Arabidopsis thaliana: one gene and its partner. The main gene of each other region encodes a partner of the protein of the gene in region 2 in a complex. Each region holds a gene or a part of one and is shown on either strand. Other genes may lie near its edges. A codon is read from its position in the direction of its gene.

Region 1 (17,445 bases), about 16 Mb from region 2:
TATCGATTATCTGCATACTCAGCAAATCGGATTTAAATCCATATACATGCGTTACTAACAAAAAAAGTACTAAACCAAGAGTTCCGGTTTCCAAAGTCCTATTTTATCCATTTTTAATTTCATTATTACTTGAAATATTTGTTACAATAATTGAAAGACGAGCTATTACAGTATTGTTTTGACATATTTTATCTAGAAGAATAGAAATATAAACAAATATCAGTCATGTCTCGAGGTTAAAGTTACGCCCCCAATTTAATAATAAAAAAGGTTAAAACCTAAAATCTCCCAAAAGCTTTGAGGTAGATTACTATGATAGTTACCCAACACCTACACACAAAGAATATGTGCTCTCTCATTCTTTTCCTCATCTTTACTCCAACAAAGCACCTCCATTTATATATATTATATATGTTATGTTCTATTGATTCTTCATGAAGCTTTCTTTACCCTTACTTGCATCACAAGTAAAACTAAGAAACGAACATGACCCATCGCCTTCACGAACTACCAACTCTCGAATCACCTGCGTCGTCTCTTCACTTTTACCACCATGCTCATACCCGAAACCGGCCTGAATATTTTCATAACTAAACCGGTTTAGGTTTACGAGATTTTTCGGTTTAGGTTCCATCGAACCGCATTGCCTAGGCTGTGTTTGGTAGAAGACTTTAGAGAGGACTGGTTCACCGTCTTTTTCGTCCTCGCTGCTACCTAAATGATACTGATGCATCACCCAATTCGTCTTCTCAGGCTTCTTCTGGCGACCATAGTTGGTGTAGAGCACTAGGATCTTCTTGAAACCGGTTTCTCCTGATTGAGACAAAACAGGTCGAGTCTTGCCTGTTTTGTGCCACCTTGTTTCATGGCCTTCCTCATCTGTGCTCACTTTTCTTCGTTTTCGTGTTCCGGTCGTATAAGCCTTTGATGGCCGGTGGAAGAAGTGCCGTACTTGCCCGTCCTTGCTTACTCCTACTTGGGACAAGATGTACTTAAGTTAAGCATATGTTGATCTGATCATCAATCACATCGGATTTGATGATTTCACTTTTATAATCTTACACCAAATTGTAGAGACAATTTTATTTCACAAAACTTTACTATATGCATGTGAATATGTGATCATTTGTTTTTGGGATAAAACCAACCATTACACTTCTGAACAAATCTTCTGAACACATATTATATATCAAATCTAGCAAGATTTTTTATTTTATAACTAACCAAAATATCTATGCCTCTACAAAAAAAAATTTAAACCGAAAACTCTAATATAAAATGGTAAAGCCAAGAGTGTTTGTGTAGACTCCGTATGCAAAAACATGCGTTACTTACTTTTGACCCCAAGAAAAGAAGAAGATGTAAATTTTAAATGAAATGAAATCGCGATAACCAAAATAGTCATTTTTGGATAATTCTCCTTGTTTTCATGGTGCTAATTGAGAAAGAAATATCGTCAATAGTATTCATTTATTTTTCTGTAATTTATACTTAGCTCTGTATTGATAATACAAAAAAAAAAAAAAAAAAAGAGAGGGTTACATACCAGGAAGTTTCTCAGGATGCGTATAACAAATTCCATTCTCTCCTTCAAGCGTAGGTATAAATTCATCAATCAACGGATGAAGTTTTCGCTTATCGGATGATACCTTCGCCTCCAAATGCATAAGGATCTCTTTATCCGACGGATCGAATTTGACTCCTGCCGGTAAGCTTGGTAAATCTTTGATGCTACCAACCTTATCAGATCTCATTTTATGTCAAAATCTAAAGTAATCATATTGATAACTAAAGAACATTTAGGTGAATTAATGGTTAACATATGTAACCTGGTCGTCTTGGTGATGATGGAGCTTGTGTCCGCAAGAAGGACAAGTCGTGATGGGAGTTTCAGCGCTAATCTTGGAATCTGGACGGCTCGTTACACATGATTGAGATTGGTCTTTGAGTTGAACCGATGGATGATCAGTGTTCGATACTCTTTCAAGATTAAGATCGTAGTTATCATCTGAACCATCACACCAACTCATCCTTCTTATTTTACTGATCTCTCTATACAAGTGACCTACCAAAATCTAATTACAATCAGAACTATCAAAAGATAAAACGAGAGAGAGGGAGCTAAAGATGAGGAGGTGATATAGAAAGAGGGGCAAGTGAATGTTAAGTTTTGGAACTAAAATTTAATTATAGTATATTAAATTAAAATGGTGTAATAAAATAATATTTTTGGGAGGTTGCGTGGACGTCAAGTTTATGAATGGTGTATGTACATACGTTTGCAACAAATAACTTTTAAATGCATTTTTCAACATTTTGATTATGACTATTTTAATTTGAACCATTTTAACCTTTTTCTAGTATTCACAGTTGAAATATTGAATGTGTTATAGCTAGAGTTGTGTGAAAATGTTTAACTAATGGTATCCAACCACACTTAGGAAAACCCCTTCAAGAGATCATTAAACTAAATCAGGATATGGAGTTTATAAAAGAAAAAACGAAAAAAAATAGAGAAAACTAATCTCTTCAAAATCAAGAAAGGTGACGAGAGATGGAGTGTCGTTATTCAAACTCATTTTCTTTTCCAAACTATTTAAAGTTTTGCCAGTTTTATTTATTTTCTATTCAATATATCATATGCCATAACATGATCTTGATTGATCCTTTAACAGATTATATTTTATATATATAAAAAAAATCCAAGAAAAAGATCGTGTGATGAATTATGCAATGGAAAACGTTAAGTTATGCCCGACTATCAATATTTCATGTATGTATAGTAGGATTCATTTACGAAATATACAATAGATAAAGAGATCTCATAGATAAATGTTAGATCATATATATATGTTGGACCAACTTGGTGAAGCAATAAGACCATATCTTCACGCACAGAACAAACTCTCGTGTTAAGCAAGTAACCTATACCCAAAAATTCTCATATTTTGGCTCGTTGACAACAGATTCTTCACCAAAAGTTATTAACTTATATATATTTTTTCTCAATCTGTGTCTTAAAGTAGACCTAATATTGAATTTTCTTAGCTAACCACAATATTAAAAGACGAACTATATATAATTAGAATGGTACAACCAACTCTCCAAATGTTTTTTTTGTAAATGCTATGGTAATTCGGTTTATTTGGGTAAGCACTCGGGTCCGTACACATGATCCTCGATGGAGATGCGAAGCTTCATGAACAAGAAACTAATAATCTCAACCCAAAAAGTAAATGAAAAAGACAGATGTAAAGGAACGAAACAGCTTACTTAGAAAGCTTTTTAGAAATGATTAATTTCATATATTTCATCTGTTTTAATTTTCAAAGAAATATGTTTTTTTATCTAGTATATAACTATATTTCTGTTAAATTATATTTTAATTATAAATATGTCATTAAAATTTTATATCAAATAATTATTTGACTTTCTTGTTTTAAATGTTTTTTTTTTCTTTTTAGTCGAACACCATTTTACTAAGTTATCGGACGGAATTTTTCTTCTAAAGAAAGACAATCCTAAGCAGATGTGTTTACATGGGAGAAAAGAGACCCTCATGCTCTTACCTTTTTAGCTAGACAATCAGCACAAATATTGTTACAAGAGGGAAGAAACCTAATGTAAAATAAATAAATAAAAAATGAAAAAAAATTCAAAATTTCAAAATCCAATAATATTATAAATTAATAATCATAGATCTTAAGTATATATTTTAAGACTAATTTTTATATGAAATTTTTATTCAAGCTACAATTACAACTCTTTTTAAAATACAACTGGTATGATCTTTGTTATACTCATATAATTAACTATTTGCGTATTTGATCCGTCATAGTTGATTTTGTAAAATCTTTTTGAGAAAGCATTGCTAAGATTTGAGTAAAGAGAAATTGGATTAAGCTTCATGTTTACGTTTACATTGACGTTAATGGCGTAGATATATAGACACAATATCTTGCTGAAAAATAAATTAAAGAAGTAAAAAAAAAACTAAAACTAACATAATTATATATGCAAACAACAAAACATATAAAAACTTAAATTAAGAAACATTTTAAAAAGAATATAATATTGTATTTTATGTAAATATTTCTATAAATTAATATTTATTAACTTATCGTATAAGTTAATAAATATTAATTTATAGGATAAATTAATATCATTATAAATTAATAAAATTTCATGATCCCAACATTACTAATTTATAGAGTTTCTACTGTATAAAGCTATTTTGAGCCTTCTATACATACCATAGTATCCATGGGAAAAGGTGTCCAATTTCTTTACCATTCATCATTCCTTTCACTTTCGAGAAAGAAAATCCAAATTGGAGAATAAGGACTAATCAGAAAAGGAGGAAGGCAGTGATGGAATTGGTGAAAGAGCCCAAGTTTGAAGCACTGGTGGGCATTCAAAAAAGAGGTGATTAACTGTCTCCTCCTGAGCACCACATCTAGGACAATGCTTTTCCTTACCGATGTGTCGGTAGAATAGTGTATGGTTTGTTGCCAAGTACCCTGATAAACATTACCACAAAATGCTTAAGCTTTCTTGTGGTTTTTAACTTCCATACTTGTGCCAAAAAGGGAGTGATTCCTGGTCCCTGAAAAGGGTAGTCACAAGTAGGGCGAGAAAGTTCTTGCGCAACCCAATACCCTGACTTAACAAAATAGTTACTAGATTTTATTCTAATCAAACTATATCCATCACTCAAATAAGTGCGACCTGGTCGGACACCTAAAATCAAAGGTATGTCCGTTTTATTAGTTGGCACGAATTCAAATTTTCTTGACTTTTTTTTGAGACCTTGAAGGTTTCCTTGTCTGCATTGGTCCTCTGTTTAAAATATGTTGGAGATTGTAGATGTTTTCTTAATCCATGAATATAGTACGATTAGAGCGTAAACTAATATCCTCTTAAAAGAATGTAATTCGAATCTCCCATGAAGTGAATGAACAACGTGAAGATGGGAAAGATAAGCTTTCAAGACTAGAGCTTTGGTTTAGACGACTACTATGAGACTACTATCTCCACAAGACCAAACCAAGACATACCAATCTAATCGGCTAAAGTTGATGAACAATCTTTGGAGGACTTTATTCCTTTCCTAAACAAAATCTGAAAATCAGAAGACATGCTAAAAATTTACAAAACAACTAAACCTATATGGGCCAAAAGCATATGTGCTTATTTAATAACAAAGTCTCCTTGTTATGTTACAAAATCTTTCATAACTTCTCTTTGATAAAATAAAATAACATTGAAGAGTATTATACTACTACACAATACTTTTTTCTTTCTGTTTTGATAAGATTTCGTTAACCTCAAAGGTGATATTTATTAAAACAAAATATTTCGGTTTCTTTAACCCATTACTGGATGTTGTAGAAAACAATAACAATTCATAATGTATAAAAACAACAGAAGAAAAAAAACATAATTCTTAACACTCATAATTAACTAGTGATGATCACAAATGATCTACTAATTAAAATCTTGATTATGAATCATTTGTTATTATTCTCATCATGTCCTCTCTTGATCCTTGAAGCAGCTTGCTCACACAGTTTATCATAGAGCTCTTGATACTTCTCCATCATCTTCTTCGCCTTTTCGTGATCCTTCACGTCATTTGGATCCACTTTCCACCACACATCCTTATTCACGACCCTCGTCTCCGCCAATGCAGCTGCCTTCTTGACTTTGACTTCGTCCACCTTTAACTCCTCCACCAATCTATTGTATTTTTTGCAAAGCTCTTGAATCTTCGCTTGCTTGTGAGCATTCATGACCAATGATGATGAAGAAGACGACGAGGCATCGCCGTTGAGAAACCGCTCCGCCACGGCTTGGAAGGATGGACTGCCAAAAGTGTATGGTTTTCCAGAGCAAGAATACCCGATAAACGCAACTTCAACACCACAGAGAATAGAAAGCTCACTGATTTTAGTGTAGATACCATTTAGACGCTTAGAGAATGTGACCGATCTGCCTTCATCTTTTTCAATTTTCTTGATGTTAATCTTTTGTTTTCCTTTGGTTTTCTTGGGATTCATTTTGGAGAAAAAAACAATTATGAGTTTATTGGTTATAAAAAAAAAAAGAGAAATTTAAACTAAGTATGTGATTGTTGTTTTTGGCTTTAGCCAAGGAATATGTTTTTTTTGTTGGGTGCAAGATAAGGTTTATATAGATGGAAAAATGGTAGTAATTTAAATTTCATTAAAAAAGTCAATTCTTAAATTAATGTTTGGAAGGTTGGTAATATTTGTAATCCGCATAGTTATGGTCGATTAATAAAAACTCTTAATTCCGGATGTAGAGACTTTGACTAGAAGAGATTTTATGGTAATAATGAATGTATGATATTAGATTAATGTTTGGAAGGTTGTTAATATTTGTTATCCGCATAGTTATGGTCGATTGATAATAACTCTTAATTCCGGATGTAGAGACTTTGACTAGAAGAGATTTTATGTTAATAATGAATGTATGATATTCTGAACTTATATTTTTTTTTTTTGCGTAAAAGGTTTATTTATACCAATTTTCTGTTTTTTTCTGTAGAGAAGCGAAACGTATTAAAAATAAAGCTACTACAAAGGAAAACTAATACATCCAAAATAAGTAAGAAGAAGAGAAGGAGAGGTAGAAGAAGAGGCATGGAAGGAGAGAAGTCGATCCCTTAAAGAGCGGTCCAGGGAAGCTTGAGTAACAGACGGTGGTGAGTTGATGTTGTTGAAGATCCGGGCATTACGCTCTCGCTAGATGAGATAGCAGGCCGCTTGCAAGATGAGCTTGACAATAGTCGTGATCTTGGGGTTAGAAGAAGTCCTTGCCTGCAAAATCCAAGAAGAAATCGAGAGAAGACCAGATGGAGGAGAAGGCCAAATCCTTGAAGCAAACCCTTCCCAAAGAGTGGCAGAATAAGCACAGTCAAAGAATAAGTGAGCATGAGTCTCTAGGCCAGAAGAACAGAGCACCCACTCAACAGGGACATTAACTCCCCAGCTTCTTAACTTGTACCTTTTGTATAAGAAGCATCTTCAACTCCCACTTCTCAAAACATTTCTAAATTAGATCCTAGTACATATATACAAAAAAGATTCATTCTACTTTCTTAATTAGAGATGATACAAGGAACATATATGAAATAATTACACATCGATATTCAGTAAAAACTATGGCAAAATTAAAGGAGACTATATATTTACACGTTTGTGTATGTAATTAATTGACAAAGAAGTTGTCCAATCTAAATTGGTAGTGAGTGTGCAAAATATGCATAAAGGTCATATGCTCAGTTCTTTCTAAATAAGATTTTATCCATAATTTTTGTTTTAGAATTTAAATGAAGTGGCATCTTAAATTGTAAACGCTGCATCCTAGTAAGCATATGTTAACGGAAATGTAACACTCTTTGCCAATTTAACAAAGTCTCCTTGTAGCAGCATTTTTCACAGTTTAATATGTTACAAAATCTTTCATGACTTCTCTTTGGTAAAATAAAATAAAAATTAAAGAGCATCATACTACTACACAATACTTTTTTTCTTTCTGTTTTAATAAGATTTTGTTAAACTCAAAGGTGATATCTATTAAAACAAAATATTTCAGTTTTTTTAACCCATTACTGGATGTTGTAGAAAACAATAACAATTCATAATGTATAAAAAAGACAAATAAAAAACATAATTCTTAACACTCATAATTAACTAGTGATGATCACAAGTGATCTACTAATTAAAATCTTGATTACAGATCATTTGTTATTATTCTCATCATGTCCTCTCTTGATCCTTAAAGCAACTTCCTCACGCAGTTTCTCTTTGAGCTCTTGATACTTCTCCATCATCTTCTTCGCCTTTTCGTGATCCTTCACGTCATTTGGATCTGCTTTCCACCACGCATCCTTATTCACGGCCCTCGTCTCCGCCAATGCAGCTGCCTTCTTGACTTTGACTTCGTCCACCTTTAACTCCTCCACCAATCTATTGTATCTTTTGCAAAGCTCTTGAATCTTCGCTTGCTTGTGAGCATTCTTGACCGATCGTTGCAACGATGATGAAGAAGACGACGAGGCCTCGCCGTTGAGAAACCGCTCCACCACGGCTTGGAAGGACGGACTGCCGAATGTGTATGGTTTTCCAGAGCAAGAATACCCGATAAACGCAACTTCAACACCACAGAGAATGGAAAGCTCAATGATCATAGTGTAGATAGCATTTAGACGCTTAGACAATGTGACCGATCTGTCTTCGTCTTTTTCAATTTTCTTGATGTTAATCTTTTGTTTTCCTTTGGTTTTCTTGGGATTCATTTTGGAGAAAAACAAAATTATGAGTTTATTGGTTATAAAAAAAAAAGAGAGAAATTTAAGCTAAGTATGTGATTGATGTATTTGGCTTTAGCCAAGGAATATTTTTTTTTTGGTTGGGTGCAAGATAGGGTTTATATAGATGGAAAAATGGTGGTAAATTAAATTGCATAAAAATTAGTCAATTCTTAGATTAATGTTTGGAAGGTTGTTAATATTTGTTATCCGCATAGTTATGGTCGATTAATAACAACTCTTAATTCCGGATGTAGAGACTTTGACTAGAAGAGATTTTATGGTAATAATGAATGTATGATATTCTGAACTTGTACCTTTTTTTTTTTGGTAGAAGGTTAACTTTATACCAATTTTCTGTTTTTTTTTACGAAAGCGAAACTTACTAGAAAAAAAAATTGCTAGAAAGAAAAACTAATACAACCAAAATAAGTAAGAAGAAGAGAAGGAGAGGTAGAAGAAGAGGGAGAGAAACCGATCCCTTAAAGAGCGGTCCAGGGAAGCTTGAGTAACAGATGTCGGTGAGGTTATGTTGTTGAAGATCCGGACATTACGCTCCCGCTAGATGAGATAGCAGGCCGCTTGCAAGATGAGCTTGGCAATAGTCATGATCTTGGGGTTAGAAGAAGTCCTTACCTGCAAAATCCAAGAAGAAATCGAGAGAAGACCAGATGGAGGAGAAGGCCAAATCCTTGAAGCAAACCCTTCCCAAAGAGTGGCAGAATAAGCACAGTCAAAGAATAAGTGAGCATGAGTCTCTAGGCCAGAAGAACATAGCACCCACTCAGCAGGGACAATAAATCCCTAGCTTCTTAACTTGTACCTTTTGTATAAGAAGCATCTTCAACTCCCACTTCTCAAAACATTTCTAAATTAGATCCTAGTACATATATACAAAAAAGATTCATTCTACTTTCTTAATTAGAGATGATACAAGGAACATATATGAAATAATTACACATCGATATTCAGTAAAAACTATGGCAAAATTAAAGGAGACTATATATTTACACGTTTGTGTATGTAATTAATTGACAAAGAAGTTGTCCAATCTAAATTGGTAGTGAGTGTGCAAAATATCCATAAAGGTCATATGCTCAGTTCTTTCTAAATAAGATTTTATCCATAATTTTTGTTTTAGAATTTAAATGAAGTGGCATCTTAAATTGTAAACGCTGCATCCTAGTAAGCATATGTTAACGGAAATGTAACACTCTTTGCCAATTTAATTGTTTTGTCATATTTGAATTGTTCGTGTATGAAATGTAATTTTTATTTAAGTTAGTGTACTTTTAAGCACACTTCATAGGAGAACTGGCTGTTTTCCCGTAGATATAATTAACAAGGATCCTATTATCAAAATTTACATAATAGAGTATATGTATTATGCTATTACTGTAACTCCTAGAAAAGTCAAAATGGTTTCACCAAAGTTATGCCCTAGCATGTTAAATTGCATATATATATTTATAGTTCTGATAGTTTTTCAATAACTAAATGGTAGTAGTCTAGTAGTTTTCACTTACATAGGAGTTGTTATGCAGGTTTAGGACAGAAATCAATTTTCTTCAAATGCAAAATGCACTAAATTACTCTATTCTAGTCAAAATGATGCCACATTTTAGGTTTATTAAATAATTTTGGCATTCTAATGTCATTTTTTTTTTTTTGGCTTTAGTCACGAAGGAATTAGTTTTATGGTAAAAACTTGGAGCACTTCTTGATTACAAAAGAAGTATATCTAATTTTCTTTTTTTCCTAGTTTTTTAGAAGAAAATAAAATGAAAGCAGTTTGGTTTAAGTAAGTAGTAAGTTTTTATTGTTATTTGGGGGCTTTAAAGAAACTTAAGAAAACAGCGAGCAATATTCAGAATTTACCAAACATATATTAGATGTAACAATAGTCTGCTCCCACAGGCCCACTCTTAAGTCCAAACTTTTGTTCCTACTTCCTTATCAAATGTGTCATATTCGTTACAAAGGTTTTTCAGAAAGGTTTTTAGTAAGTTTTCAAACATTTTACAAGTTCTTTAGAAGCTTGGCAAGTTATTTGTTTACAACATATATTATCTTTACAAAAAAATATAAAAAAACATATACCAAAATCGTCTTTTGTCTTTCCTAGTTTTTTTAATGGGCCTTTGACAAATTTGAGAATAGAGAGAGTAGAGTCGATATGTAAGACTTATTCAAAAATGTGGAAAACAATGTGGGTCCGATAGGCCCATTTAAAAGCCATATGACCCCTAAGGTGTGAGTGTGTACCGTGTGGTGTGGGTCACAATAACACTCAATTACTCTCATATGTATTAATGATGTACATGATCATTTCGCAATCCTGACCTTATCTATTGAACTTTGGTCCCTTAGTCCCTACTATGCTTTCCATTATAATTCTTTGTTTCTTATAAATAATTATGCTACCCACGAACTATCTTACTCATATCATACCAACCACTAGCAAGACTACTATACCAAAATTACTAGAACAAAGTTGCATCACATATAAAAGAAACTTCACACAACTATCAAAATAGAATAAAAAAAGAGTGTACTTGTTCTAGCAAATACAAACATGTTATGTGGAATCTCTATGAAACCTCATCATGCAACAAGTTGAAAAAAATAAACAAAAAGGAAATGCAAAAACAAAGAAAACAAAATTGAGAAATGATTTAGAGAGTGAAAGAGACAGAGAGACAAGGCAAAAGATGAAGGTGAGGTGTCTATGTCCCTTGAATTGAATGATAACAATGTGGGCTGGCTTCAATGCTTATTGGACCCACTTTTAATTTCCTCACCCAACAGCTCATATTTAGATTCTCACCCTATTTATGTAACCTTAATGTAAAATTCTCTAGTTAGATGATAAAGCTTAGCTAATGTTGAGATGTCAATGTTTTTGTTTTGGATTTGTTTTATACTCAACAATAATAGAAGTTATCTCTTTAGTTTTTAATGTCGTTACTTAATTGCAATTAGGAAGTTAAACGTTTACCTAATCACTACCGGTCGATTTACATGACTTAACTAATTCTTTTTCTCTTTTTGGAATTATATCTTTCTTACAAATAGTTCTCGAACTCCAAGAATATCATGTTTTAAAGAATGACTGTCAAAAAAACATACGTTGTTTATTATAGATACTAGACTTCACACAAGTAACTAAAAGTTAGAGATCTTTTCGCAGGAAGGTTGATATTAGTCATTTCATGTGCCAAGTCTGATGTTCATGCTCGTGTACGGAGAGAGTAAGTAAAGGAAATAACACAACCTGAAATTATAAATAATAATAGAAAAGTTGGTTTGAAAAAGTTGAGAATTTAAGAGACATGTGAATCTACAGTGACATCAAACTGTACACGAGCCTCCAAGAGTTCACTAAAAACGAGAGAGAGAGAGAGAGCCTAATGCTTTAAAAGATTCAGATAGACATGTTCCTACACGAACCTTGAATCTGTTTACCCAAATATGGAAACTATTTAAATGCATGTTAACGCCAGAAAGATCGCAACTTTTTCATTTGCATTTACCAAAGATAAAAACTCTTACAAAACCAGAGTTTACTAATAGCTTTATACAGTGGAGAAACTGAAACGCTGAATTAGAAACTTCTTTATATATATTATAAAAATTTCGACAATCTCTGATTCTCACTTTTAGATCAAAACCCTAAAAAGGGGTGAGAGAATCTTGATTCAATGCCCTAAATTGACAGCTTCAAGCACCAAAAATTGAGAGAGCTTTTTTGGGCAAAACACTTTTCTTTCTCCATTTGTGTCTCAAGCTATACTTCCTTGGTCTGAGGTGTCTTCGTTGTAATAAGGTGTTAACTTGCCATCCTTGTCATCTCTTATCTTGTGTAGGCTATCTTCGTCTCCACCACCAATTTCTTGCAACATCTTAACCACACGCCTCATGGAAGGTCGGTTAATGGGCAACGGACTCGTGCAGAGGAGTCCAACGTTGAGGATTTTGCTTATCTCTTCTTTGAAACAAGAGTCGAGTTTCGGGTCTATCACATGCTCTATGCCTTTTTGGTCCAATGTAGAGCAAACCCACTTCACCAAATCCTTCTCCCCAAGTTCTGGATCAACCGGGCGTTTCCTAGTTACTATCTCAAGGATCACTACCCCGAAACTGTAGATGTCGCTTTTCTCGTTCACACGAAGCGTATATGCGTATTCTGCAAGAAGTTTGAAATGAAAGTTATGGAGGGAAACAGACAAACAAACAAAAAGTTTCAAATTCCATTAATGGACAAGTGAGAAGTTGTGGAGCCATGGTTTCAGACATGTCTCAATAGATAGTGAATGCTCATTTAAGTCTCAACTAATAAAACTTAAATGTGGTTCATCTGAATCTCCGTGCAACATGTACCAAATGAGCATTATTACCTTAAGCAAAACTGTTGATTAAACAAAGCACATTTAACTTGAATCATAAGACTAACCTGGTGCGATATAACCGCATGAACCAGCGATCACTGACATCGATTTAGGAGCTTTTCCGGTCAAGTCGACAGCTTTAGCCACACCAAAATCAGCAACTCTTGCACCATAATCTCCATCGATCAAAATATTGTTTGACTTAATATCTCTATGCACAATCGGAGGAACAGAATCATGGTGAAGATACGAAAGCCCCTCAGCCGCATCTAAGATAATCTTAAACCTCGTTTGCCATCCCAACATTCCTCCTTTACTGCTATGAAGCAAATCTCCCAAACTACCATTAGGCATGTACTCATAAACCAAGAGCTTGCAGTCTCTTGTAGAACAGCAACACCATAGCTTCACAATGTTCTTATGCCTAATCTTACCCAATGTCTCAACTTCAGCTTCAAAAGCCTCATCTTGAACTCCAGGTTTGTAACCTTTCTCTGGATCACAATCTCCAGTTTCCTTAACAGAACCTGTCCATAAACGCTTAACCGCAACAGTTTCCCCATTGGTGAGTACAACCTTGTAAACTTTACCTGAAGCTCCAGCTCCAATCACATTATCTTCATCCAAGCTTTCAAGAATCTCATGCTCACTGAACCCGAGTTTGTGGAACGACATTAGAGTCCACTTAGATCTCTCCATGGCTCTTGCTTTCTTGAAAGTCCTGTACTTGAAGTAGAACCAAGCAACACCCGCAAGAAGCACCATCGCAGCAAGTACGAAAATCGATCTAAGAAGCCATACATAGCCTCTCTTCTTAGCTTCATTCTCAGAGCCACACAATCCCTTGATATCCCCACACAATCCCGGGTTCCCAATGAAGCTATTCTTATACATATCTTTCGCTAAAGAAGGCGGTAAGTCACCCGATAACCGGTTATAAGACAGATTCAGCTGGTTTAGCTTCAAACTCTGCAATGAAACCGGGATCTTGCCAGAGAACATGTTACCAGAAAGATCAAGATAGTTCAATACTGACAAACTCCCGATTTCATCTGGAATTTTACCGGTGAATTCGTTATCGGCTAAGTTTAACTCGTTGAGCTTCTTCCAAGATTTGATTCCAGAAGTTAACTCTCCTGAAAACTGATTACCATGAAGATCAAGAGTACCTAATTCTCCAAGACTCATCAAGCTATCAGGCAACGAGCCACTGAACTTGTTCCCACTTGCCGACAACTGATTAAGATTATCCAAAGAACCAATTTCCTCCGGCAAAGATCCGGTGAATTCATTGTTGGAGAGAATCAACAGCGAGAGATTTGAAGCACCTCCAATGGACTTCGAAATTTCACCGGAGAACGAGTTGTTGACGAGCTCAAGCAAGTTAACATGAGGCAATCCCCAGAAACCTGTAGGAACTGAACCGGAAAACCGGTTATAAGCTAACCGGATACGTGTCAAGCTCCTGCAATCGGCGAGACTCTCCGGTATAACGCCGGAGAAGGAATTGTGTATAATCAACAACTCCTCTAGCTCTCCTTTCGCACACAGATCCGCCGGTAAGTCGCCGGAAAATTCGTTTTCCGAAACATCCAACCATCTCAACGGCGAGTTTAGACCGAGGTCTTTTGGTAATCCACCGGTTAACCGGTTTCCGAATATTCTAATCTCGTACAAGTTCGGAGATAACGCTATACTCGCCGGAAGCTCACCTTCTAGATTGTTCTCGTAGAGATTCAAACTCTCCAACGGCACACGGCAAAGCTCGTCCGGTATTTTCCCGGTTAACTGATTCATCGACGCGTCGAGAAGTCTCAACGATTTCAAATTCCCGAGCTCCGGTGGAATCTCTCCGGTCAACGAGTTGTTGTACAGCTCAATCTGAACGACGTTAGTCAAACCACCGAGCGAAGGAGGAATATGACCTACAAGGTCGTTGAGCGCAAGGTCTAAATCAACGAGTTTACTGAGTTGACCCAGCGAGTCAGGGATCTGTCCGACTAAATGACACTCAGTGAGCCACATAACCTCGAGATTCGTCAAGTTCCCGAACTCCGGCGGGATCCGACTCGGACTAAAGGGGTTATACGAAAGATTCAGCATCTTCAACGTGCTGATGTTGCCGAGAAACGGAGGAATCGTACCGTCTAAGAGATTGTAAACAAGAGAAAGAACCTCTAGGTTTTCGAATTTGCCGAAACTCGCCGGAATGTCACCGGAAAAGTTGTTACCGGTCAAATCTAAGTGAACCAAAGTCGGAATATCGGCAAGAGTTTGTGGAAGCTCACCGGTGAGTAGATTCTGAGAGAGATCGAGAGTTTGAAGACTCTTACAAGCAGCGATGTTGAGAGGAAGAGTAGAGTTGATGGAGTTATTGTACAAAGAGAGATGAGCCAGATTAGAGAGACGACAAATGACTGAAGGAAAAGGTCCGGCGAGATTAGCGCTGGAGAGGTCTACGGAAGTGACGGAGGAGAAATCACCGGCGCAGGAAACGCCGGACCACCGACAAGGAGAAGCATCGTTGGAGTTCCAGGAAGAGAGATATGAGTCTGGGTCGTCTAACGAGAGCTTGACTTGTTGAAGAATGAAACCGTCTTGGTTAAGAGAGAAGACGGTGGGGAAAAGTAAGAAGAGAAAGAGAAGATACATGTTTCTTCGTCTTCCCCGGTATCTATGACGGTGGTTGAAGAAAGAGAGAGAGATAAGAGAGTATGAAGAAGAGAGTGTTTGTGAGAGAGTGCTTTGAAGGAAGAGAAGAAGAGAGTCTATAAAAAGCGTTGACCGGAGACAGGTGAATTATCGTGACTCTGACTGTGAATGCTATAAAAATCATTTGTTTTTCTACTATCATTTATTTTGTTTTTGTTTTCTATAACGATTCTCTCTAATTATTTGTTTGCAATTATTAGTATCTATGTCGAGTTTCCAACATTGTATAATTATCCTGTGTTTATCTGATTATAAAAGAGAATGTTACTAATAATGATGATCTAGCTAAATAGCCATATGGAAGGAAACATTCTTTTTTTGTACTTTGTTGTTTAAGAGAATGCAACTGTTTTTAAATTAGTTATGTAGGAGACGATAAGATTGTAAATTTTCAATTAAATAATTTTAGCTTTATAATATATATGGAATTTGCATACAAATTTGATTTCATTATATATGTTTTTAATGTAAATGAAAAGTTAGTTAGTAGAGTAAATGTGCATTTTAAAAAAATTGCAAGGTGAAAAGAAGGTACGGTAAACATTAATTTTGAAATGTAGATATCTGATTTTTTTTTTTTTTTTTTTTTGGAGATGGAATGAGATATATTCCGACAGTTTTATTTATTATCGGCGTTTGTAAAGTAGTAAAGTACAAATATTGTTAGAACATATCAAAAAAAAAAAAAACAGAATGTGTTGGAAGTTTACTTGGAACGTAGTCTAAAGTCGATGTGAATTAAATTAATTATCATTCAATTTTAAAAAGTTTATGCACGTCTTAAAGAGTATTAGGAATATTGTATCAACTATTAAGAGAATAAACTAGCATGCATGTAGAAACATGAAAATATTTTATTTTGTTGAAATGTGAAATTCATTTTTGAAGATAATAATATGTAGTTATTTACAAAAAATGCAAAGAAAATATGGAAGATAGGATAAGATATCAAAATATTGAGATATTTATGAAATTAAACATTCTCTAATGAAATTTGTTATACTAATTAGTATTGCAAAGGGAAAGAGGGGGACAAACTTGTATGGTTAAACGTTAGGAAACATATTGCCTAATGGTGTAGTCAATATGAGAATGCACTTCTCAAGCGAGAGTCATGAGTATTGCTTATCTTAGAGATGTCATAGTCTTAAAAAAGTATTCGAGTCGAATAAGAGTTCTTTATGGTTTTTAAATTTTAGGTTGATATGCAACAAAATTGGAAGACGTAAAATAATGTATTGTGAAAAACAAACTGTGTGTACACTTTGTTCTTATTCTCACAACTTGGTTTTCATAAGTTGTTACGGCTAAACGAAATCGTAAATTATTTTGTAGGATGTGAAAAAGAGTTGCACTAACTGTACTTGTGTTCAAGAATTTTGTTTTTGAGGACGTGAATACATTGTTGAATCCAGTTAAAAAAAATTGTTATCTATTTTTGTTTTTATTTTCTTACGATTTGGATTTCATGCCCGTTACATTATGAGAATTGTTACGTTTACTATCATAATCTCAATCTTAGTTTATCAGTTGGAATTTGATTTTATTTTAGTTAATCTTAATTTAACAAAATAATAAACTCATAAAAGAACAACACAAATTTTGCCTACATATATGTTAGTTAGAAAACGTATGTTCTAACATATGTATCGGTTGAGAAAAGCATCACTTTAATCAACATACCATTTGAATGATATTTAAAGAGATAGATGAGTGAAATTTTGGAGATAGATTGATTCCAAGCAGTCTTCTCTTCTTCGTGTTTCTAATAGTTTCTGTGAAACACACAATACAAGTTGTCAAAAAAAAATTAGGGTACACTAAACGGAGTTCGACACTTGTATCCTATAAGATAGACATTTAAGAAATTACGTACACTACAATAGCTACAAATCTCTGTCTTATGAGATTGTTATAAGCAAAGTCTCTTTCATCCTACAAATTGTTGCTAGCTAGTTGATTGAAAGAAACCGTCAAATTAGTTTTGTTTATATTTTTAATTTCATTACT
Region 2 (14,413 bases):
TTACCAACATGCATGCATGTCTACGCTATATGTACTAATACATGCTAGATTAAATTATCTAATTATCTACAGTTCAAAAAGAGTAACAACGATGGCTAACTTAAATTAGTATATGTGGAAGCATATGCCGTCAAGGCAGCGATGTATTAATGAAGTCTCCCTTTCCCTGTGTCTGGATTCGGATTCTTACAAGCCAACCAATGTGTTAAGAATCGATTATCTTCGAATCGTTGAGAAGAGAATATATATCACGATCCTCAGAGAAAAAGGTTGCTTTGGAGGTATTTTGCGATTGTGATGTATTTCTACTTGAATAATTCCATGTGTTTGGACATTGTTAAAGACACTATTCATTATGTATATTGCGTGTGTTGTATATAAAGTCTTCATATGTTTTACCTGCCAATTTTATAATACATATTTTAGTGTTTGATTTTTTTTGAATATGTAGTTATTAATAGACATAATTATGGTTGAATAGTAAACCTTTAATTTCTTGCAATGTTAAATAATATAAAATGAAATGAGAAGCTGCATGTAATCTTACCTAGAGAAAATTGTTTGTCAGTTTACTATTGCATGAAAGTTGTGAATCAATAACTTTAAGAGAGTTTGATATTATTCTCCTGATGATCCCTCCTAATTTACTATTCTCAGAGGTTTTAGTACTAAGAATTTTAAATTGATCCGGGGTTCGATTGTATAATATTTTAATGTGGAATCTTAATTAGTTTCAAAATAATCAGAAAAGAGGTATATCCATATGAAATATTTCACTTAGCCTTTTGACAAAGCAACACTTGGCTCAATTAAAATTGATCTACAGAATCTCTATGGTACTTTTATATATTTTCCAAATCTTATTCAAGAGAAATTCTACATCACATAGAATTAAATTATTCAAAATAGAATAATTATAATGACTTCAAATTTGATATAGAATAGATTATTAAAAAAAATAGTACCCCAGTAAAAACATATTTGCTATACTTTAAATAAATGTAATCGTATTATTCATTTTGGACACAGGAAAAAATCGTATTATTCATTTTGGACAGCAGGAAAAAATCGTATTATTCATTAACTATTTTTACTTTCTTCCTAAATTAAAATATGTTTATTAGTGTATCACCTAGTTAAAAAAATAATAATTCTATGAAACAAATCTGCTTTGTCAATTTAGGAAGAAAGAAAAAATGGATCATATGTCTTTCTCCGAATGTTATTGAATTCAAAGACATATTGATCTAAATTGCCACAGGACAAAAAGAATCAGTTAATATGTTTTTAAAATTTCTTCATATAACAAACGTATCGGGAATCTGAATATATACTTTTTTCATCTTATCTTGTATAATTTATTAGGTTTAGAATACTATATGAAGATTATGCCTTATCTTCTTAGTATAATGCCGAGGATAATTCGTTGTAAACATTTCTGCACATCTAATTTCATTAAAATATGTAAAATTATACTATCCACACATACATTTTTCTCCAATTCCATACATCATACATGGTGGAAAATCCGGTTACTACTATTATGTTGCAAACCAAATAGTTAAGATATCGTCGTAAATCAAGTTTTCTATGTTGCATAACGTTTGTCGTTGCTTTAGTTCCATCGGAAAATGAAAATGCAATGGATTTGTGATAATACCTTAAGACATCTAGCGACTGTTTTAATTTACTATTATCGTAGATGAGTTGCTATTAACGTCATCAACAGAGTAATCGACCTTCTCAAATTTATCCGTTTAGTTCAGTTTTTTGAGTTAGATTGAGTAATGTTTCTTTTTATTGATTTCACGTAATTTTGAATTTGTCGTACATATAGTTTAACTCGTAGTACTAAAAATAGACCGGTGTTGTTTTATTTCTAAACTCTACTCTTTCGGGTTGCTTCAAAAAGGAAGTTTCAAAGGCATAAACGATGGACTGGCTTGCTTCTTCTTTTTTTCTAACGATGGACTAGCTAACTTACAATATTGGGTTCTCTATTTTCAACTGAAGTTTTCTACACATGAGGCATCTTTTTTAAGATTACTATTTTACTTTAAGAGAAAGATGATGTGAAATCAATAAGTTATAAAAAAAGGTCATATAAAGTCTCTGTCAGGTAAATTTTAGATTTATATATGACAACATAAAAAAAAACTATAATTTTTTTTTTTATAAAGTAATTATAGTTTCATATTTTTTAAAGAACATGTAGTTTCTTCTATATTGAATTTGATATACAAATCACATTTTATCAATCGCGGAATCAATTTGTCGAAAAGCGGTAGGGATTGTGGTTGTACGACAACCAAAAACCACAATTTGACTCAAAAAGATAAAAAGGCAAAGTGAATTCAATCATTTCAGGCAACATCATCTTCACAATATGTGATTGTGTATGTTTATTTATAGGACCCAAGAATGCATGTTTATCTCACTATTATGACATCATTCCATGGTTTATTGCCAATGATCTCACCCAACAATGTTGTTCAATGATTCAGCCGATTGTGGATGGTAAAATGGATGTCGGAGCTACCACCCACCTAACCTCGTAGCTATATACATGACCTAGGAACTATGATTATTTTGCCATTAAAAGACGATGTACTATTGGACATCAGTAAATTAGATTGTTTCATTCTTAACATGAAGATATATCTTGGATCTGCCTGTTGTAGGTATTAACAATTTTGCAGTTTGATTTATTACATAAGGTCTTTGATATGGTTATTTTTGACAGTTGACTAATAAACGTCTTTAGGAAACTTGTATGAGAAAATAAACTTTTGTAAAATCATAAGATGCACAACACTTAACAAACAAACAAAAAACGATGTACCCCACGATCAAATAATATTCTTAAGGAATATGCTTTGGGTCATGAAAACTTTTAAATTCAGACATGTAAAAGGCTACCATATAGTATTTTTAGAAAGCAAATAGTAAAAAGCAATTGAAACTAGAAATAATAGAAGACTAAAAGTTACTTTAAACACAAATTTTGATCCATTAACCTTGGACCACAAGTTGGTGTTTTAAACATGAAAAGGTACCTTATGTTTATGGTTACAGGATGTGATTTAGATATCTATATTATAAAAATATGTGGATGTATGGAAATTGCAAAAAAAAATTCCTTTGGTTGTAATTTACCCATTATTTAATAATTGGAGCCTAAAAAAATCATTTGTGCCAAAAGATAGACAAATATTCTTACTTTTGACTTGGCCAAGTGAGAAGTTATAAACTATTTGCCGTTCTCATTTGTAAGAACGCCGTGTTGTTCAACAAGTGCAAGCTCAAACAGCAACACAATGTCAGATTAGAGGTCCAGTACTAGTACTAAAGAATGACATCAATACTTGTCCAACAAGAAAACAGCAAAAGTAATAGTATCTTTTAAATCACGTAAGCAAGTGTTGTGGTAGTGTATTAACCGGTATTTCTCATTCCTGCAGCAATACCATTGATTGTGATAAGCAAAGCATCTCTTAGCTTATTGTTATCTTCATCACGTCTTAGCCTCTTAAGAATTTCAACTTGTAACATGTTCATTGCGTTGAGATACGGAAGTCTACTATCAATGAGTTTCTTCAAGCTCTTATTGTCCTGCAAGAGTTTCTCGTGACCACTTATCACAAGAACGTACTTCTCAGTAGTCATTAGTTCTTTTCTTAGCTCAGTGCCAAGTCCTCTTCTTTTCTCAGACACAAGTTGTTCGTCGTAGTGTTTGGTCATTGGAATGTCTGCTTTAGCTAACACCATCTCTATAAGTTCAAGGGTGGACTGAAAAAATGGCCATTCTTTGTACATCTCTTTAAGATCATCCGCATGACCCTTCTCAGAAACTCCCTTTAAACCAGCCCCTACACCAAGCCAAGCTGGAAGAACAAACCTTGTTTGAGTCCAAGCAAAGACCCAAGGGATAGCTCGGAGATGTCCTATTCCACTAGAGCTCTTTCTTCGTGTTGGTCGGCTTCCTATATTGAGGAAACCAAGTTCTGCTTGCGGTGTTGCCTCATGAAAATAAGATAGAAACTCTGGGTTTTCATACACTGTGCTTCTATAGTGTTGGCAACTGATTCCAGAGATTTCTTCCATTAGGTTTCGCCATTTTTCCTCTCGAGGTGGCTGAGGAGGCTTTAAGGTAGCGAGTAGAACCGCGGTTGTGTATACCTCTAGTTGCCTAACAGCCGTTTGTGGTATCCCAAACTTAGCTTGAACCATCTCACCTTGCTCAGTTGAACGCAAAGAGCCCTGGTCAAACCAGTTCAATCATTTTAGCGTAATAGCTCATTGGTCTAGTGCCATGGCACCAAAAATGTATATATATATATATATATATATATATATATATATATATATATTTTTAACCCCGTATTGACATTAGTAACAAAACAAATAATACAATCATTAAATATGTTTTTAAATGATCAATAAATAATAGTTTGGAAACTGACCATTACAGAGCCTGGTGGTTGGGACTGAATAGCGAGATAGGTTGGACCACCACCACGACCAATGCTTCCTCCTCGTCCATGAAATAATGTTATTTTGATTCCAAATTCATTACAAGCAGCAACAACATTTTCTTGAGCTTTGTAGAGTTCCCATGCTGCAGTAAAACGTCCAGCATCTTTTCCAGAATCAGAGTATCCAACCATCACCTACAAGTAACATTGTTACAAGTTCTTAGAACCTCCCTTCAAAATTAACATGTTTAAATTCACGTGTAACGTACCTCTTGGTGACCGTTGTGGTTCTTTTGGATGTGTTCCCTATACCAATCGATTGAGAGCAATTTCCTTATCGAAGGACCAGCGGCTCTTAAATCATTCACCGTTTCAAAAAGAGGTACCACTCGTAGCCTATTCAAATAAATAGATAGTAGTAAGAGATCTTAAGACTACTAAAAATGTTACTCATGTATGTACTTATAAAGTGATTGCTATAAACAATGTAATATCTTGGTGGAGATTTGAACTCACGTTCCACCAGGACATGGTTTTCCATGTTCGCTAGTTAAAGCAAGTCGAGCATCTTTTTGAAGAAGTTCCACAGCGAGGACATCACTTGCCTGCAAGTAACAAACAAATCTATGTCATTGTTTTGTTTTAATGAAAATGTTTAAAGTCGTCATGCATAAGAAAATTATACATTTGAAGCCATAGAAATAACGTAAGCGCCAAGTGATTCACTTCCAAGTTCAGCAGCGACTCGGAATGTGTCCAATACTTCTTTGACGTCAGGACCAACCTACATAAATAAAATACAGATAAATAAATAAAATTTAACAACTTTCATAACATAACATTGCTCTTTCTTGTAGTTTACGCAATAGATATTTCATTATGACCTTAATACATTGAGGAACAAGAGGTCGTTTCCCTTTTAGTTCTCTTGTCAAAAATTCTAATTTCTTCTCTTCATCCCATTCACTATAAGTACCCATATCCAAGTATGTTGTAATTGCATCCAAAGCTTCAGAATGTCTTGCAGCTTCCTAGTAATTGAATCACACATATTATTGAATTAGAGGACCAAAGCATGAAGATTTAAGAAAACAAACTAAAATCACCTGGCGTAAGTCGAGTTTCACCAAAACCATTCCAAAGGTAGAAACTCTACGAATCAGATCAGCAAGTCGTCCATCAGCTAGTACCCTAGCACCCGATGATTGCTGCAAAAACGAATGATGTTAAATTTTATGATTATGGATTATTGTGGTAACACAAGTTTCACATGGAATCAAGATTGCTAACCAGAGATTCGTAACAGAGGAGCAATGGTTCAAGAAGCTGATCTGATGTTTCATAGGAGTTTTTAGGGTCATACTCACAAGGAAGACCCTCAATAAGAAGTTCAAGAAGTCTTCTTGTCTTCACAAGCTATGATCATAAATCATTAAATTTGAAAATCTGTTGGTTTTGACATGCTAAATCTGAATCTTTATATTATCTTTGATTGAAAAGCTTATGATCTTTACCTTTTCTTTTACTTCTCCAAGAACAATACGATAAGGAGCACTTCCAGCTCGTTTAAGTGGAGGTGGTTCTAGTAGCTTTTGGAAACTAGTCTTCCCAACCTGAGATTCCTCAAATAGTTTTCTCTGGAGAAGAAGTTGAGAAGTAGATGAGAAAGAACCTCGAGAAGTAAGACCGGACCGCGAACCATTGTCAATTTTCTCCCAGTCGCTTTCCGAAAAGTCTTGTTCATTCTGCTTCTATATAAACAAAGATTAAAAGAAAAATTAATCAAAAGAGGATGGAGAAATTTCTGTAAAATATGTTTCATCTATATGTCAGCACATTTAAAGGCTTTGTGTTACCTGGAGATTGGGTGGCATATAATCTGTCGTCGCAATTTCAAATTTGGTATGTCGTGATTCACCAAAGTCTGCAATGGGATGTGATATAAAACATGCATGGTTTTGAGATATTTACCAAATGCAAGAGATTAAGAAATCTTTTTACCAATGCAAGCAGGAAGGTGAGCTCTAGCTGGAAGTTGTGTTGGCAAGCATGATGAACTTTGTTGCTTTTGGAAATTTGATTTTCCTCTATCATAATCTTTTTCAGAATTTTAAGGGGAAAAAACATCAACTTTATTCAGAACAAAAAATTTTTATGTAAATGAACAAGTAAAGATTTAATAGAAATTGAAGCATATATTTACCCTTTTCAAGAATTTTATCAGCTAATCTTGAAAACCTATCACTGCATCGATCCGTAGATAATTCAAATCTTAAGCTATCAACCTCTCTTATGTACAAATCAATAGCCATCCATCTAGACAAGAGAGATACTTCTTTCGTGACCTGGACAAATGATATCACAACATTCAAGTGTGTGTTATATATCAAGAGAATATGTGACAATCAAATTTTCTGATTGCAGTTTTAAAAGATCTTCTTCATCAAAAAGTAAATGTTAAGAATCTCATATTACAAGTGAGATGTGACCTAGAGTAATATAATAACGACCATGGACTAATTTTCATTACCGGTTGGTTTTGAGTTCAAATCGTAAAATATCAAAAGACTAACCTTTGCCGTGACATTTGGATTTCCATCTCTATCACCTCCCATCCAAGAACCAAATTTCATAGGAGTGCATGTTAGTGGAAGTGGCTTCCCTGTAAACTAACCAAGAAAATACAAAATATCAATATTATCTTAAGATAAAGTATAACGATTATTCATATATTCTAGATACCTAAAGGTAAAATAATACCTTCTTCAAGGAATTGCTGACACGACGCAGGTATTGTGGTACTGCTTTCCAAAGGGATTGCTCCACTATGTTTAGACCTAAATGAATGAAAAAGAAAGAGAAATAGTTTTTTAGAGTGAAACTTTTCTGTACTTTACAATTATATTTAAAATACCAGCTCTAGCTTCATCAACTGGAGTAGGTTTCTGACGTCTAAGCTCATCAGTTTGCCACAGTGAAGTAATCTCTCTAACCTTTAAGTATAAGTAACTCTTAGTTTATAAGTTACTCTGCTGATAAAATTTATATGGAAGATATTGAGATGGAGTGTACCAAATCTTCAATGAGCGTTTCGCGATCTTCAACGCTTAGATCTGATCTAGTGTTATATTCTAGAAGATGCTGCAAGAACCATATACTTTTAACTCTCTCAAGTAAAATTAAGAGATATAATCCATATATGTTAACATCATTAGAACTAACTTACAGCAATTCTAATATGCTTGTACTGCAAGGTTCTTCGATTTATTTGGGTAGGATGAGCAGTAAGAACAATTTCGACCTCCTAAAGCGCGATAAACAAACAAATATCAAATAGAGAAAACAACACTCAGATACGACCTTTGTGTTAGATAAAACGAATTGAAATGTTTCTAAAATGATACAATATGAAGTAGCTAGACCTGTTTGCAAACAGTTTTATAAAGTTCGTCTGGAGAGATTCCACTTTGCAATAGCTGGCTGAATATATCATCACAAGATCTTGCAAGTTGTGTAACGTTATGGACTTTGTGCATTCTGGAATAAAAATGTTTATTATTAGAATCCACAATGTTTAAGTTTAGAATTATCTATTCATGTTTATTACTTGTAATATTTTTGTTGTAATGTGATTACAAAAATCATGACCTGTGATGAGTGTCTGCAATGCCCATTAAGTTAAGAGAATGAGTGAATGTACGAGCCAACGTTAAGGCTTCTTCTAGTGGCATTTTGGATATTTCACTAGTCAATTGCTTCTCCAAAAGGTTTGCGGTATCCTCAATACCAGCCATACGCAAATTTAACGCACTCTGAAACATTTAAAAACCACACAAAAATAAGTCGTATCATTCATATTTGTTTCGATAAGTTGATTGATCTATATGACTATATCTCTTATTACTACGATGTGAGATTCTTATCAAATGATCTAAGCATATGGAAGCGAATAGACAGAAGATGAAACCTGAGCAAGAATCCGAATGCGTTCGACTTTTTCCATGAATGGGTTGCCAACTTCCCTTTGTAACACATCATGGAAGAGACTACCGAGCAATTTGCAGTCATCTTCGAAGCTTTGGAATGAGATTTCCTCTGCGATATCGTCTGTTGTGTCCGTCATTGTATCAATGAACAAGGTGAAGGAATGAATAATTGCAGTGATCAAAGTTAAATATTTTGAAGAGTGATTATATATGGTTTGTTAGCTATGGTGCTTAATTACTAATTATGGTGGTCAACGCAGTAAATTATGGCGTAGTTAAATTTGTGGTGCTAGTCATCTTTCCCCAAAAAAATATATTCTTATTTCTTAAGCTAATTTTCTTCCTTTCCAAACTAAACAACAAAACAAACAGTTGATATATTATAATTAAGAAGAAAAGAGAAGGAAATTCTACGATTTTTTTTTTTCTTTTTTTGGGTAAAAATTCTACGAAAGGAGTAACTGGTTTTAACTAACTCTGTTTTATCTTTGGACCTACAATTTATTTTGTGCCTCTTTGGTGATTGTTATTTTAACATACATTCTTATGATCGGAAAAAAAAACTAAAGTACAGTAAATGACATATAATTTGGCTAAGTCTTACTATCTAACAAATGACTACTCCTTCTATTTTTTAAGAAAACATAATAAATGTTGATTATAAATACATTATTTTTTATGTTTTACAGTTTTCTATAACTCAAAAAACAATGATAATTAATTTTTTTTTTTTAATTACAATTCATCAATACTAACCAATAAATATTGCATAAAAAACTTAAAAAAATCAATATTTTAGAAATAAATTTTTTCTAAAAAAATAATCATTTATAAACAGAAAAGTATATGTATATGTTATTTTTTACATAATCGTTCTCGTTATGGCAACATCATAAAGAACATATATTATATAATATCATCTAAATTTTTTAATAAATAAAATGAAAACAAGTGCAATGGAAAAAGAAACAGCGATAATTGTGTACAGCCAATCACACCGACACGGCGACACATTTGCCAACACGTATATAAACGCATAACCGATACGACATCGTTTTAAACTCAAATTAAGTCAACAAAACTAAAACACGACAAGAAAGGGTTTCACTGTGTTCGATAATAATGTCGACAGGAGAAGCGATACCAAGAGTCGCCGTCGTCGTTTTCATTCTCAACGGAAACTCAATCTTATTAGGTCGCCGCCGTTCCTCAATCGGCAACTCCACTTTCGCTCTTCCCGGTGGCCACCTCGAATTCGGTCTCTCTCCTCTCTCTCTTCTCTCTTTATATCACCCAAATCTTGATTTGATCTAATCTTTGTTCTTTGATCAGGAGAGAGCTTTGAAGAATGTGCAGCGAGAGAAGTAATGGAGGAAACAGGTCTAAAGATTGAAAAGATGAAGCTTTTGACTGTTACAAACAATGTCTTCAAAGAAGCACCAACGCCATCACACTACGTCTCTGTTTCGATACGTGCGGTGTTGGTGGATCCAAGTCAAGAACCGAAGAATATGGAACCAGAGAAGTGTGAAGGATGGGATTGGTATGATTGGGAGAATCTACCAAAGCCTTTGTTTTGGCCACTTGAGAAATTGTTTGGAAGTGGTTTCAATCCTTTCACTCATGGTGGTGGAGACTAATAGATGTAAGAGTTAATGATTGATTTGGGATTGAATGTTGCAAATTGGGCATTTGGTCTAGTGGTATGATTCTCGCTTAGGGTGCGAGAGGTCCCGAGTTCAATTCTCGGAATGCCCCTCTCTTTTACTCTTTTTTATTGTATTTTTGGTTTCTGTTTTCCTAATTAGTAATAAACTTATCATGTGTCCTATCGATTTTATTTCTCTATGTTTGATTATTACGTTCTTAAGTCTTAACTCAAACATTGACCTATTTGAGAAAGACGAATGATATAACTTACAAGTTGCATAAAAACATATGTTTGATTAGCGTATGATGAGTGAGGTCTATGGAATATTCTTTAGTAGAAGGCTAACAAAGCTTAATCGATTTCTTGATCTTTATATGGCCGTAATGACCTTAAACATATATTAAGTCTATAAACATAAAAAGGAACAAATTCAAAAGTAAATATAAATCGTATGCATATACAAAGAGTATAATACCCTATGTTGATCTAATCTACAAAACCAAACCTAAAAGAATACAATGAATAAAATAAAATGAAATCAATGAGGAAGAGAGTTAACAAAAGAGTTGTGTCTCTTAGAAGGAGCAGAAGGAGGAATGGGAACGCCTTTAGGTAAGTAACCAAAAATATGGCTGTTTTTAAACGTTAATCTCTTTATATTCTTCTTCATCTCCATGGTGGCTCCAATTCTTGCAGCCGCTACACAAGAACTACTCGCCGCGAGAAACAGAACAAAACAGAGCAGAACCATCATCGTACGACACGGAGCCATTTGGTAGTCAATGTTTTTTTTCTTCTCTTTTTCTAATTTTTTCACTTCCACTTCTTTGAGTAAATGAATGAAGGGTCTTATGAATGAAATGAATAATGTGTATGTATGTGACTATGTGTTATATTTATAACATGTGTGTGTGTGGATTTGATTGGAAATAAGTGTGGCGGAAATGAGGGGGAAGTCGGGGAATGGTAAGAGTGGAGTGAATCCCACGCTATTGAGACTTTGAATTTTCCTTATTATTTTATAAGAATTCTAAAGTTTTCAAAGGTTTGAGTTTTTCTCGTTGTTTTAGTCACCGCCTTCGACTTTTATTTTCCTTTGTATTTTTCTATAGAAGTCCATTTTATGCTAGGAAATGGGAATCTGGTTTGATGGGATGGTCGTTTTTTTCAAGATTTCATCATATATGTACAAGTACGTTGACGGGAAGAAGAATAATTAATGGTTTTATAGGCATCGTCACCATGAGCTATCTTTTGTTTTCTTTTGCATTATTCAACTTTCAACAGTAACTATATCACAAGATGTATGAATAGTAAAGCAAGATTAGTTTTCGAAATTCGAACTCAAATATCAGACATGACTCATGAGCTTTCTTTAAGCACACAATATATCATATATGTCGTGCAGAAAGAAAATTAGATATCATCCTTGGACGAATGACGAAAGTGGTAGACAATACACGTATGTATAGTAAAAGGATTAGACTAAATGATAACATGTCGTAGGTTAATCATGATACGGAATAAATAATAATTTAGTTAAACGAATATACACATAAAATATACTGAAAAATGCATGCATAAAACACGTAAAAACAATGTATACCAACTCTATCTTTTGCGTGAGAAGGTATTTTAAGAAATTAAAGAGAGAACAAAAAGTAGCTTGGAGGGTTGACTCAGTTATACACAATTTTACAACTTGACAAGTGGCTTTCCATGATTCACATTTTTCTTTAAATTATGCCAAATTTGATTTGGATATCCACCTGATTTCTGCATCTATATCGGACTTAGTCACGGATTATTATTTTTACCTAAATAGAATTTTTTATATTTCCTTTATGAAATGCCAAAATAAAATAAAGTTCCAACATACCTCCTACGATTAGACATGTCGCATAAAATCATACAATTCTTCTAATTTGATGGAAACAGGTAGATCTTTACATATACTAAAAAAAAACAAATTTTAACTAGGTAAGAACCGACCGTATCATACATTGAATCATTGATACACAGTAAATTTAAACTAGGTAAGTCTGTTATTTAATTTTATGATTGTATGATCTAAAAAAAAAATACTTGGAAGTTTTTCTAATGAACTTCGAGATATCAAAACTATATTTTGTAAATACGCTAAATAATTTAAAACAAAATAATGCTATAGAAATAAGATGCAATAACAAAATTGAAAAGACCACAGCTTTGTATCATTCCAAGTTTTTGTTATCACAAACCCTTTGATTCAGAACGAGGGTTCTAATATTTATCTGCCTTAATTCTCTTACATTGGTTCACTCCGAAAGGAACATGATCGCTAAGGTTCTTGGTCTCATCTCCGTTGTAACACAGATTAGGGTTCCCCCAAACACCAAGTCTCCTTCCCATTCTCTCATAAAAGTACCTAGAGAATTCCAACTCTCCGCTGATGTTATTTCCATTCACGTAAAGCGCGCTGAGACTAGGCATTTCGGTTTCCATTTGTGGAATGAGTTTGCCTCCGAGATTGTTGTTGCTCAAACCCAAAAACCTCAGTTTCTTGAGCTCCAAGATTGAACCAGGAATCTCCCCTTTTAAGCCTGTGTTGGAGAGATCAAGAACCACTAAATTCTTCAGATTTCTCCACTTTATTCCTGTCAAGTCCCCGGCTAGGCGATTATTGGACAGAACCAGTTCTACCAAAGAAGTCATCTCTTGGATCTCTTTACTCAACCCACCTGATAATCTGTTGTTTCTCAAGTCCAATAGAGTGAGATTCTTCAAGGACTCTAGCTCTCTAGGTAACTTTCCTTCCAAGTAATTGTTACTAAGATCAAGTTTCAGCAGAGAATACAATCCTCCAACGCTTAAAGGCAACGCCCCAGATAAGAAATTCCTGCTCACATCCAATATCAACAATCCGGTTAACCCGTAGACCTCAGGTATTCTCCCTGTGAACCGGTTTCCAGACAGTACTAAACGTCTCAATCTGGTTAACTTGGCCAAATTCACTGGCAATGGACCTGTTAACTTGTTTTCTAGCACCACCAGAGATTGAAGGTTGGTGAGGTTAGTGATGACAGAAGGGAGTTCACCTATCAGTCCCGGGTTTGATCTGATCTCAAGTCTCTCCAAGCTTTTAGAGAGATCCAACCACTTTTCATCGGAGATTGAAGCTAGATATCGGTTAGGCGTTGTGAAGCAGTTGAAAAGAGAGAGAGACTTGAGGTGCTTGAGCTCAAAGAGTTGTGGTCTGATCACTGGACTTTCAGAACAAGCAAGAGAGTTGTCTTTCATAGTCCCAAAGCTTAGAGCAGTTACATACCAAAGCTCATCATAGATATCACAAGTCACACCCTGCAGAGTTAAACAACAGAGAATTACATCAGCTACTCAACATTTTCAACGGCTTCCGAATTCAATAATCATAATCTTGATAGGCTTAAAACATTACTAAGATAGTTTTTTGTTGTTTTTTATTGATAATCAAAGAATAGTGATGAGAGAAAGGACCTGGATAGGAGTCCAGCCACAAGGGTCAGGATAAAGATAAGAGCCATTCCAAGATTCACCAACAAAGCCTTGAATGGTAGAGTATAGAGCAGCTTGCTCTGTTTTCTCCATGGGACTTCCATCACTTTCCTCTGTTTCTGCTTTGCTCCAATCCACCACCAAACACCACACGCATAGTAGAAACACCAAATGTTGCTTCTTTCTAAGTCTCAGCATCTTCATCGAGACTATAATGAGAAGATACAAGAGAATAGAAGGAGAAAAAAGTGTTGTGTGGATCTTATCTGTATTGGAATTATTCCACTTGTTGCATATGTTTCTATCAAAAGTAATCAAGATTTTGGGGTGGGTGTTAATGTTGGAAGATGAAAACAAAGCTATCTCCACAATGGGTCATGGGACCCTTTTAAAAACAATGAATGTTGGTTGATTTGTATACAAGAACTTTTCTTCTCGAGTTTGGTTTGTGACAAGAAAATGTCATGAGAACAAAAAAGAAAGCTTTAGAGGTTTCTCTGTTTTGTTTCTCTTTCGAGTTTAATATAGAGGAGATGCCAAGAAGAATACTCAACAGAGAACAAGAGAGGAAAAGCCAAATCTGTTTCTCTAACTTATGATTACATATTACACAGCTTTATGTGCATGTATATAGACACCTATATAAGAATCTACAATATGACAAGTATTTGATAAAGACTTAAAGAAAATGTAAAGGATCTTAAAAAGTTTACAATGTTTAACATGCTCAAAGCTGGTTTTATACATAGAGTAGAAGCAAATTGAACTAAGTTGTGAAGTTATAGGGT

Evidence for each region.
Region 1: the proteins of IDA (region 2) and HSL1 are in contact, whole or in part, in a crystal structure (PDB 7ODV), measured with the Arabidopsis thaliana proteins. Residues at the interface, in NP_564941.1 of Arabidopsis thaliana: Val57 (codon at 10,716), Pro58 (codon at 10,713), Ile59 (codon at 10,710), Pro60 (codon at 10,707), Pro61 (codon at 10,704), Ser62 (codon at 10,701), Ala63 (codon at 10,698), Pro64 (codon at 10,695), Ser65 (codon at 10,692), Lys66 (codon at 10,689), Arg67 (codon at 10,686), His68 (codon at 10,683), Asn69 (codon at 10,680); in NP_174166.1 of Arabidopsis thaliana: Tyr92 (codon at 15,102), Asn93 (codon at 15,099), Gln117 (codon at 15,027), Thr140 (codon at 14,958), Gly141 (codon at 14,955), Val164 (codon at 14,886), Tyr165 (codon at 14,883), Tyr189 (codon at 14,811), Trp211 (codon at 14,745), Asp233 (codon at 14,679), Asp235 (codon at 14,673), Gln257 (codon at 14,607), Glu259 (codon at 14,601), Tyr261 (codon at 14,595), Leu281 (codon at 14,535), Asp283 (codon at 14,529), Ser285 (codon at 14,523), Met286 (codon at 14,520), Ser304 (codon at 14,466), Asn306 (codon at 14,460), Tyr308 (codon at 14,454), Glu309 (codon at 14,451), Glu328 (codon at 14,394), Arg330 (codon at 14,388), Phe332 (codon at 14,382), Asp354 (codon at 14,316), Ser356 (codon at 14,310), Glu357 (codon at 14,307), Glu376 (codon at 14,250), Leu378 (codon at 14,244).

Annotation. Positions count from the first base shown.
Region 1 is NC_003070.9:9,994,844-10,012,288, reverse strand, and holds HSL1 (HAESA-like 1), read right to left. Parts: upstream 15,577-17,445; 5' UTR 15,376-15,576; coding exon 12,789-15,375; intron 12,522-12,788; coding exon 12,118-12,521; 3' UTR 11,834-12,117; downstream 1-11,833. Other genes in the region: NAC010 (NAC domain containing protein 10), read right to left, coding at 422-972, 1,547-1,739, 1,830-2,030; AGL59 (AGAMOUS-like 59), read right to left, coding at 5,511-6,059; AGL58 (AGAMOUS-like 58), read right to left, coding at 7,766-8,323.
Region 2 is NC_003070.9:25,819,507-25,833,919, forward strand, and holds IDA (Putative membrane lipoprotein), read right to left. Parts: upstream 11,276-14,413; 5' UTR 10,885-11,275; coding exon 10,651-10,884; 3' UTR 10,411-10,650; downstream 1-10,410. Other genes in the region: PPC4 (phosphoenolpyruvate carboxylase 4), read right to left, coding at 3,436-4,260, 4,464-4,670, 4,745-4,871, 4,992-5,080, 5,161-5,259, 5,360-5,506, 5,582-5,683, 5,766-5,891 and 12 more; NUDX1 (nudix hydrolase 1), read left to right, coding at 9,584-9,719, 9,794-10,101; AT1G68780 (RNI-like superfamily protein), read right to left, coding at 12,375-13,451, 13,608-13,829. UniProt on the Arabidopsis thaliana protein: Involved in an ethylene-independent separation step of floral abscission. Promotes abscission zone (AZ) cells rounding. May act with RLK5 and HSL2 as ligand-receptor pairs.